Neodiprion lecontei: one gene and its partner. The protein of the gene in region 1 purifies or fractionates together with the protein of each later gene. This does not show direct contact. Links are inferred from orthologs where the notes say so. Each region holds a gene or a part of one and is shown in the gene's direction. Other genes may lie near its edges. The genes, in order: tyrosine-protein kinase CSK and leupaxin.

What was found.
Region 2: the proteins of tyrosine-protein kinase CSK (region 1) and leupaxin purify together in Homo sapiens (affinity purification with mass spectrometry; 4 studies listed by BioGRID and IntAct, with this or other methods). This does not show direct contact. The link is inferred for Neodiprion lecontei from reciprocal best matches to the Homo sapiens genes CSK and PXN.

What each region holds. Positions count from the first base shown.
Region 1 is NC_060264.1:27,154,730-27,159,937, reverse strand, and holds the start of tyrosine-protein kinase CSK, read left to right. Parts: upstream 1-2,199; 5' UTR 2,200-2,283; coding exon of another isoform or gene 2,284-2,339; 5' UTR 2,340-2,551; intron 2,552-5,208. Other genes in the region: protein FAM169B-like, read right to left, coding at 442-622, 720-900, 2,284-2,339. UniProt on the Homo sapiens protein: Non-receptor tyrosine-protein kinase that plays an important role in the regulation of cell growth, differentiation, migration and immune response.
Region 2 is NC_060264.1:9,647,699-9,652,895, reverse strand, and holds the start of leupaxin, read left to right. Parts: upstream 1-2,038; 5' UTR 2,039-2,246; coding exon 2,247-2,358; intron 2,359-5,197. UniProt on the Homo sapiens protein: Cytoskeletal protein involved in actin-membrane attachment at sites of cell adhesion to the extracellular matrix (focal adhesion). Recruits other proteins such as TRIM15 to focal adhesion.

The sequences.
Region 1 (5,208 bases):
GATTATTTTTATCCTTATGAAGTTGTGTTGTTGGTTGACAATAAGTAGGGCCTAACTTTTTGCAAAAAATTTTTTTTTATAAATAATATTTTAGTAACATACATTTCGTCAGCATGGCGACGTGCTGAGTTATCAGCTGATCGTTTGAAGTCAATTATTCGAACATGAAGCACAGAATATATCATCCAAGTTGTTAAACTTATTTTCCGGTATTAAATGAATGTTCAAGTAAAATATGGAACAAAAATCAAGTTTTGTATTTGAATATGATCGAGTTTAAGCATCACGTTTTCTGCCATCAGCTCGGAACAGCATGTTTCGATACATACGAATTGTTAGTGTAAATCAATTTGTCCGAATTGGAAAATGTTAATTTCTCAATTTAATAAGATTGGATTCTTAGGATTTCGAGTTACTTATGTTCACCTAGACGTGTGTTACCTTTTTGCTTGAGCGTAAAAAATCCGATCGCCGTACCGTTTTTCCATCTAAGCATAACTAAGTCAGATTCGTCAGCATAAGCAAAGACCGATTCATATTTTTCTTCCTTTGGTGAATCACGCTCTAAGTAGATAATCTGAGACAATGCGTAGTAGACGATTTTTTCCTTTCGTGTTTTAGCCTGATGAACAAAATACTTATGCGTGAAAGATATGTAAGGTAGAAACGGTAATGTAAGCAATCATCATTCAATCGTTTATTTATTTATTTACTACAACCTCCAACCAAATATCATCGCAATCGCTGTCAATAACACCGTCGAGATTAATTACATCATCCACGGTCTTGATCGCGATAAACTTGCCACAGGTTGTGCAGTCCAGGCGCGAAATGTCTCCCTCAATTTTGTACTCTGATAAATTTAACCGCCTGCCAATCGTTTTTCTGCTTTGACGACAACTAAAAATGGTAAAATACTTTGAAATAGAACGATATTCGTAAATTAAATTTTAGCATATTTATTATTTTGTGTAAATTTGAAAATAATTGATTGTTAAATGTGTATTTGGCAAGCATTGCATTATATACCAGACTCTATATTGTATAGTTGCGAGTATATCGTGTGGATATAGTATGCACGAGAGAGGATTTAATGCGAATGCATGAAGATCACCTTAGGCATAACATTGAATCGTGTCGAAAGCGACCCTGGAGAGTATCCATTGTGATATACCTATATATATGACTGCTTCTGTCGCAAGTTTAATGTATTTATATATGTATGCAGTGTGTCGCATGTGCTGCAAACCTCGACGAGACAGTGTCAACGTCGTCCATTAATTACGCTTCCAAAACCACTGTGACTCACTGCTTCACCTTGCGCGATTATATGTACACACTGACGTACGTGGACAATGTACACGCATACCATGTGCATCATTGCATGCAATTGGCGAGACACCAGCTGATATTCCCCTCAAAAATAATAACGAGATCAGTCATTTGGCTATTGTCAGAATACAGTCTTACAGTATACAGATATAGGGACTTTAGCAATTATCAGAGCCTGAATATCCAGTTATTAGCTGGTTTGGTGAAGTTTTTGAAATTCAACATTCATCCAAAGCAAATAATCTTTGTCAATATATAATAGTTATTATCGTGTTAACTGCTTCTTCTTCTTCTTTCATTTATGAATAATGAAGAAAATATTTTCATATGGATAACGTTATCGTAACGAAACATTGGGGAAAAATGAGTACTTATTTAATTTTACAATGGTTTTGAACGAACAAGATGTCGAAACATGAGTGTGTTTTCATCTGTTACGGTTTACTGAATTTCAAATAATTCCAAACGTTACGATAACGTTACTAACTTCAGTTTGATGGTATTAAAGGTGTACATACAGCTAATGGAAACGAATTGATCACTACGAGTTTCACCCAAATATTCAATTTACAGACTTAAATCGCGAATTGAGAACAATTACGGTCGTCGTAACAACGACCCCTTTCATTAATTTGTCATGGGAAAAGACAATGATCAGAATCAACCGAATTGAAATCATTCAGTTTTTTCGGTATTTACGGATTCCCCCCACCTCGCGGCACAGCGTGAGAATTTATTGATAGAGCATGGAGCCGAGGTTCGTTGAGCGGCCGCAAGATGGCCGCAGGCTGCCTAGTCGGTGGACTCTTATTACGGGTCGTACCGTATTACTTCAGTGCCAACCAAACAGCCGAGCGGAATTAACACAAGCGACGAGCTGCCAACCAAGTGGGCGCAAAGTGTTGTCGGATATTACAGTAGTGGTTATAGCGTTCAATTCCACCTACATACCAGATACCTAGGCTCTGTGGCAAAATGGCCGACGAGTCGAGATGAGCGTGTGACATTCGCTTCTCGCAGAAGTCGAAGGTGTTCTCTATGTAGTGTTACGGTGTTTGTTACGGTGTTGTGTCGACGTCGTGGTAAAAAATTGACGTCCGAGGTGAAATACTCGTCGGGTGTCGCGCTGTGTCAAGTGGATGGGTAAAAGTGTCTGGCTGGTTTAACCCCTCGACGAATACAACCGAGTGCGGAAACCACGACTCCACTTAGTTAACAGGTAATGTACAGGAAAACAACCTTCATCCGTAAACAACACGATATAAACAGAATTACTAGAATTTTACACGAAACGAGGATAGAAGTCCGAGAGACTCTCATCCACGCACTAGAGTGTGCACGAACACCAGACCGCGTTTCCCGTCGGGAAGTGTGTGAATTGCTTTTTTATTTTTTCCCGATTGTTTTTTTTCTCTGTTTTTTGTCTTTAATCGTCACCGAGTTTACGCAGCGACCCGCGAGAAACTCTCGAAGTTGCTTATTTTTCTCCTCTTCCTGAGTGGAACCTCGTACTTTTTCGAACCTGTTTCTAACCGTTTTCCCCCCTGTTTTCCTAATTCTTGCTCGATCGACCGGCCCTTTAAGAGTCCGCTAACTTTCCTCGCATACCTCTCATCGCTCTAATTTTTTCGAGTATTTACTTGCTACCCCGATACGTAGAAACAAAACGACGTTCTCTCCTTCGCAATTCGCTGTTACTTACTACAGGCACTTTGCGCGAGAATTCGTTATGTTTTATTCAATGTTTGAACGGACGGAATATGCAGCAGCAGCAGCACCTCTCGAAATTCGCTTACCCGTCGCTAAACCTCGACGACTCGGTGTTATTAGGATCTCGCCTCCTTCACGCTTTTACGATTTTTAACAAGCGTCAATAACCAGGGTGTTCAGTCGTCGTGGAATTTCGACAGTCACGGAATTCTCCCACCATGGAATTTGATGTTTCGACCTTGAGAGACAGAGAGAGAACGAAAGCGAGAGAGAGAGAGAGAGAGGGAGGAGAGCTTGCCTGAGAGAGTAAACGAAAAGATAGAAACGCCAGAGAATTTTATATCGTGTCTTGGAATTCCTTCGCGTTTCACCACCGAGCCGTCGGAATTCGTTCTTGATTGAAGTAGAGAAGAAGTGGAAGAAGAAGAAGAATAAGAAGACATTCGAGAATGAAAATCATCAGCGGTATTTTCACTTTGCTGATACCGTACGGAATAGATACTATTTACAACGCTGCGACGACTCTCGCGCGAATTCCACATTGGGCGAGAGGAATTTTTTCTCTTTCTTCCTCTCGAAAAACCACTTTTTCCGACATCGCGTTGGCGATCGAACGAAGGAATGGAATTATCATACGATTTCACCGCGTAGTATTTACGCCTGCACGTAACGACGAGCGTTAATATCGACTCTTAATTTCTTCAGCCGGTTTAATGCTCACGGTTAGCGCAGTCGACTTCTTCCTCCATCTGCACACGACGACCTCGAAGAACGTGTGAAATATTATACGTAAAGAGACTTCCACACTTGCGAGCATAGGATGAAGATTATTTCAACACGCGAGCGTTGAAATTCTTTTTCTCTTTTTCTCTCTCCCTCTCTCCCTCTCTCGATTCTTAATTAAACGAAAGATTTTTCTAAAAAGAAGCGAAGAAATGTGTAAACCGTGCGTAAAGTAATCCCGAATGAATTAACGATTATCGTGAAATAATAATGACAATGGTAATGATAAGACTTAACGGTTCCAGAAGCCCCAGATTAAGTTGTTATAAACGTTTGATAACTCGTCTCGAGGCGATAGTTCTGAGTAACAGGTTCTTGGTAAAAAATGCGGTTGCCATCGATTCGTGTTTGTTTGTTTTTTTTTCACTTTCCTGTTGTTGTTTTCGTTGGCTTAAACGGTTGAGTTACGGTGATAAGTATTCTTGCCACCTATTTTATATCCATCTTTTGTGTATTTAAGAGAACTTGTCAACATAATTCTTTACGGTTTTTTTAAATTTGTTGAGTCGAAAAATGGCACCTTCAAAGGGTCAGTACAAGAACATCTCTTCGATCAAATATCTGCCGGTTTATTCTCGAATCGAATGTAGGTATATGTTTTTCGACTCTTCGGTAGACGGTTTTTTTTTCTTTTCTTTCTTTGCTTTTCAGCAATGCTCGTTAAAGTTTTGTTTTGTTTTGTCTTGTCTTCTTTTTCACACTACATTTTGATTTGTCGATAATATACGAACAGAGAGAAATATATGTTCGGTAGGTCAAGGCTGCTGCCTGCACTGCGTTTTACGCACGTACGCACGCGTTGTGTGTATATGTATATCTCTTCGTCGCTCCAGATGTGTGTTCCTTCTTCTTCTTCTTCTTCTTCTTCTTCTTCTTCTTCTTCTTCTTCTTCTTCTTCTTCTTCGTTCTCTTTCCTTCTTCGTTGAATCTAAATTTATCCCTCTTCGAATTCTTACACCACGGTTGTTGATGCGTAAAGCCGCAACGAGGTTGTATGGTGGTTGGCACAGAGTCGCAGAGATACGGTGAATACCTACCAGGTATAAACGGAATACTCACGCGATTTGTACAAAAATACCGACGAGGTATTTATCTGCCCGCATATCATGTGTGCTGTTTTTACCGCGTGGGTTTTAGAAGACTATGAACGAATGCGAAAGTCGCGCTGCTCCCTCTCGGTTATATCATACACGTACTTTTAATTCCGCAGGCATGTGCGCGTTAAATATATACGCTTTCATCGAGTGGATAGTAATATTGATGATAATAATGATAGTAATGAATAAATCTAGGTGTAACTGTAACACCGTTAAAACAAAAAAACGAAAAACAAAAGAACATGTATATAGAAGAGAGAATGAAAGAAAATTCGAGATAAACTAA
Region 2 (5,197 bases), about 18 Mb from region 1:
ATAAAAAGTTTTTGAAACGTCACGCTTAGATCTGATATTCTGATTATCACGCGACATATACAGTATCGATTTTGCGGACAACAGACAACAGAGGTCTTACAAGTTTCTCAATTAGGGATTTTAAGGGTTCAAAAAATATACATCTTGGATAGTCGTTGACTCTCGAAATGATGGTACCCACAATTCTCTTAAGTGATTAGAACATTCATTTTTTTTATTTTGATTTTCTATTCAGGCTTGAATTGTGCCTCCATTCTGGAATCGAAATTAAATCTTGTTACATAGTTCAGTTATCAGTAAATCTTATGTGGTCGAAATTGTTATTGAGTCGCCATCAAGCATCGGGCTTGGATAAATGGACTGAATAACTTTGGGTAATAATTACCTTATAAGAATCACTGGGTTAGATTTTTCAACGTCCGGAAATCTCTTTTTTATAGACACAGAGCTGTAAGTGGTATACGGTGAAGTGTATTTTTTTGTAATAAATTGACTGATTGTGAAAATGACGAGTACCTCTGTGAGACCGATGTCCCCAATTACGCCTGCCCGTTCGGCCACTCTGGAGCGGCATAAACGCTGGGAGCGTTATATTAGTAAGTAAAAATAGCACAATTAACGTTATACGTTGATTATACGTTATGGGATTTCACGTCGTCAAGTGACAATTGGTTAATTGGTAGGAAATCTGAGATGTACGTGAACTCTATTTAAAGTGACATGTAATATTATATAATGCATTATATTTGTATGCAGAGAGGTTGAAAATTTATTATCTCGTTCGGTTTATCAATCTATGTAATCAATATTGCTGCTGCGTTGGTTTAGAAACCATTCACGCAATGATTCACGAGTCATAAAATAGATTTGAACGCGCGCAAAAACCAAACTAAACGTTACAAAAAAAATTAAACAAAATTAACCTCTGGGCTTTTAGCCAAAGCTTAAAGCTCATTCACGTTCCGAAAGTATGCAATAAGCTACGTTGGAACGTCGTACTCTTGACAGCTACGCATCAATCTTTTCTGCAGAACGTATCAAATGTACAGCAAATAGTCACAATGAAGTCGTATACAATGATGAATCGCGGATACTTGCGGATGAAATAAAATTATTAGGTATATTATTTTTCGCGTGCATTATCAGTAATAAAATTTACAGACTTGGTAGTTCATGAATTTCCGTTCAAATAAGAGAGAGAACCAGAGCGACATAATCGATGAGAGCAATAAATTTTGAAAATGCGACTTCGATATTTTTCGCATTTTACAAGTTTATTTTATAGTTATTCCATCTATCTGGGCGTCGGAATTGATTAAAACTGAGAATCAAAACCGTGAAAAAGTATGAAAAAAATGTAGATAGCATTCACCCCCGCCATTTTGTTTACACTCACTTAAGAGAATTCTGAAATTTTCATCACCTTAGTTCTTTTATACCTTTTATTACCAAGACCTCCATTTTTCATCGATCGTTTATAAAAATAACTGACCGACAGGGTAATTCTGATCCTGAATTTCAAAAGCGTCTCCTCGATCTTCACAATATCCTCAACAAAACATGAATCCCCGCCTTTCTTCGTTCCAACTCTACCCCATACATACGTACAATATACTAGGTATAAAACAGTTTTTGGAACTGACAACGCGATTCCGCGTGAAGTGGGGCGAAAGACCCGAGATAACGAAGCTCTGGAGGCGCGCGTTCGTCGTGCACCGGAGATTACAGAAAAATTTCGTCACGCTGGAGTCCCCCCCCCCCCCCCCCCCTTCATTTTTCCAGACGATGCGATGCCGCGACGAGTCCTCCGCCGCTTACACGTTTCCACCTCCCCCCCCCCCCGCCCGCTCACCCCCCTCCCCCTGTGAACCGCGTCGGGCGACGGAGAAGGCGACAGCCTTTCCTCCACCTCCTCGAGGGAACGCTTCGCGGAAGCCCATAGAGTCCCAACGCAATCGGCGAATGGCCGACCGGCGACCTTCTCGTCAGAGCAAGCAATTCACAGTCAGTCAGTCAGTTGGTCGGTCGGTCCCACTCAACTCCGCTGTCTACGAACGGCGCCAGAATATTGTACAAATATATTACCGCGCACGTTTGGAGTATATAAATTGCACAGTCGAAAAGACCCAGTTACTAGACCCTAATCCAGCCTCCCCCCTTTTCTCCATTCGAACGCAAAGGTGGTTTGCCGGTGATATTTACTCGCGAAATAAGTTGGTGCGTACCGTTTTCTTCACCTCGTAAAAATGGACAGTCAGTGCGCCTACGCCAGGAGGTCGACCGACAGTAACGACCTTTACGAGGTCTACGATCCTCAGAGGGCCCGCAACGGGGCCTCGAGCAACCTCGTAAGCCTCGGTGAGAATCCAATTCGTCTCAAGATCCCCCGACCATTCGTCCCTCGTATTTGTGATTTTCAAGGTTGAAGTAGTAGAATTTTTCACTAGCTAAATGCAGTGCCCACTGAGTGCGATTTTCCTAGGATTTCGCTTCTGTTTTTCCTTCGAAGCTGGGAATATTGCACTCAATGCACACCGAATACAGCTAGTGAAAAACGCTATTTGGTAACGTAGGTTTGAGAAAAAATTCACTAGTTTACGATCTTATAGGGTTTTTAACGGGCTGCACTCACAATCAGTGTGTACTACATGTCAGTTCTTCAGTTTTCGACAAATAGTAAAAGTGAAATCCGGGGAAATTCACACTCGATGCATTCAGTGCAGTCAATTGAAAACTCTATTGGAATGATTTGAAGGGAGGCAAGTTTTCAAAATAAGTAGATTAGTATGTTTTCATATGCTAGTACGGTTTATTGAATTTCAGAGGGAAAGCGGAATTCGAAATTTCGAAATAACGACTTGCTTATCGCATACAATCGTTACAACAACGTGACTAACTTCAATATTATATCAGATTCCTTACGTTTCGATCAGAAATCACGGCAGTCGCGACTCGGTTGACGCTGCGGCTGACGTCATCGACGCTCTGGTGTTGAGGTTAAAGGTACAGTTTGTCGCAAGGGTTATTGGGTAACTTGAACCATCGATACATGCTCGAATAAGTAGCAAATTCAAGGTTCTTGAATGTGGATTAGTCCGTGATGTGACGTCACTTTTTCCGACTTAGAGTGCGAATAAACCGAATAGACAAACTTTACCAAGGATGGAAACTGCACGCGTGTTTAATCTGCGATAAATACTATTTCTTAATCCACGAAATAAATTAAATCTCTTAAGCGTTGGTACCTGCAGAGTATATCATCATTTGCAGCGCATTTACATTATACCGCGGTGCAGAGGATGAGTATAAATCATAGACTTACAGGCAGGATGTTCTTCGCGAGTATAACGGATTACAGTGCACGGGATCTCTGTAGTAGTTTTGTTGCATTAAGAGTCAGGAATTCAAGAGAGAATATATACTTATACGTATGAATCCACGGACACGATATGTACGATCCACGCGCGTGCCACAAAATGCGTAACAGAATAGAATGTTGTGCATATCTCGACTGCATCGTTCCACATCGCAAGATTATGGAAGAAGTATTTTTGAAACGCTTTATTGTTGCTCGAAATGAATTTACTCCATTCACTGGCAAAACTTCACTTTCAAGTATGATGATTTAAGATTTTATTTATATGTTTTTCACTCTTGTATGCCAACGTCAAATGTTTTTGATCTTGACAGTTTTTGGCTACAAATTATCTAGAAGCATTTCGCTTGAGTAATGTTCATTAATGGTTTCCAAGTGGTTGACTATTTCTTTTTTTGTAATCAAACCGAAACATGTTTCTTTTTATAAAAATTTTATGTGCCTATTGATCAATGTATCGTTTGTTTTTCCTGTTACTTACGTCGTTAGTCATTTGCATATAAAATTTACTTAGAAAGGAAACCCGTTCCGGTTTTGATTCCAAAAAATAATCAACCACTGGGAAACCCAGAAATGAATATTACGTACTACGTCCTTCGTTAGGTTTGCACTTAGACGGTGACATTTGTCGCTACACTCCTTTAGCCCATTTTTCTCTTAATCACAGGTCAGTTTTTCGTTCGAGGTATGCTTTTTAATATTTTCTATGTCTACCGCCCAAAGATCGAAAATCAACGTTTTCTCAAAAGTTCCGTAATCAATTCTGATTAAATTTTCACACAAGATTATACATGTAAAACAAAATTGTCAAGACTAAATCGAATATTCCGATACATCTAGCTTCGGAGTTATGAAGTTTTTGATTAATCATTTAAATGATATCGTTTCTTTATTACAACATTTTTTTTACAAAATACCACAAATTTGATACGTATTTCGTACATGTATCTGTACATTTCGTATATTTTTGTACATGTACAAACATGCTAATATTTTATAAAATATGATATACCTCTTGAGAAACGTATAAATGAAGTTTTACTACATCGACGTTCAATGTGTTATTACATATTTTTGTGATTTACATATTCTTAACTTCATAACAATTGTTATTTACTACATTGCTTGCACGTAAATTTTCTTGAGATAATTATGAGAAAGCTAATAAAACCTCAATGCAAATGTAGCGATTCAAAAAAATGAACCTGCAAGAATTAAAAAAAGCGTATCTTCAATTTATTCTATATATGAATAATACCAATTTTCAGATATGATGATACAAGTATAAATGCTCTGATTACCTAAGTAATTGTTAAAGGTACGTTTTACGCAGTAAGTAATTGAGCATTTTATTTACTCAATGAAAAAATCATTCAATTCTTTCGACGGTTTCGGTACAAGTTAAACTTGATTAATTACTTCACAGAAAACAAAATTACAATTAGATAGATTCTGAATTAGAGATAGAAATATTTTCACCTCTAATTGTAACAAACTGGGATTTTAGTCTTAATTTTACGAAAAATAATGAGAAAATGCGAACTTTTTCATATTATTTTATTTGAAAGATCTTGCAATAGCTGATTAATATATTCTTACAATAAAAGTATCCTTAATATGCCAATTTCTCAAGCGGCTTGCAGCTTGACGCATTGCTTTCTATAACGCAATCTGCTGACATTCTTTGAATATGCATAACCAGGAATTATTCGCTGACATATGCCGAACAAGCACAATTATGTTGATCATTTCCAAACTACAACAAGAAAGACGGTTGAATGTATAACGGCATTCATCGTTCTTTCAGCGACTATTTTTTCA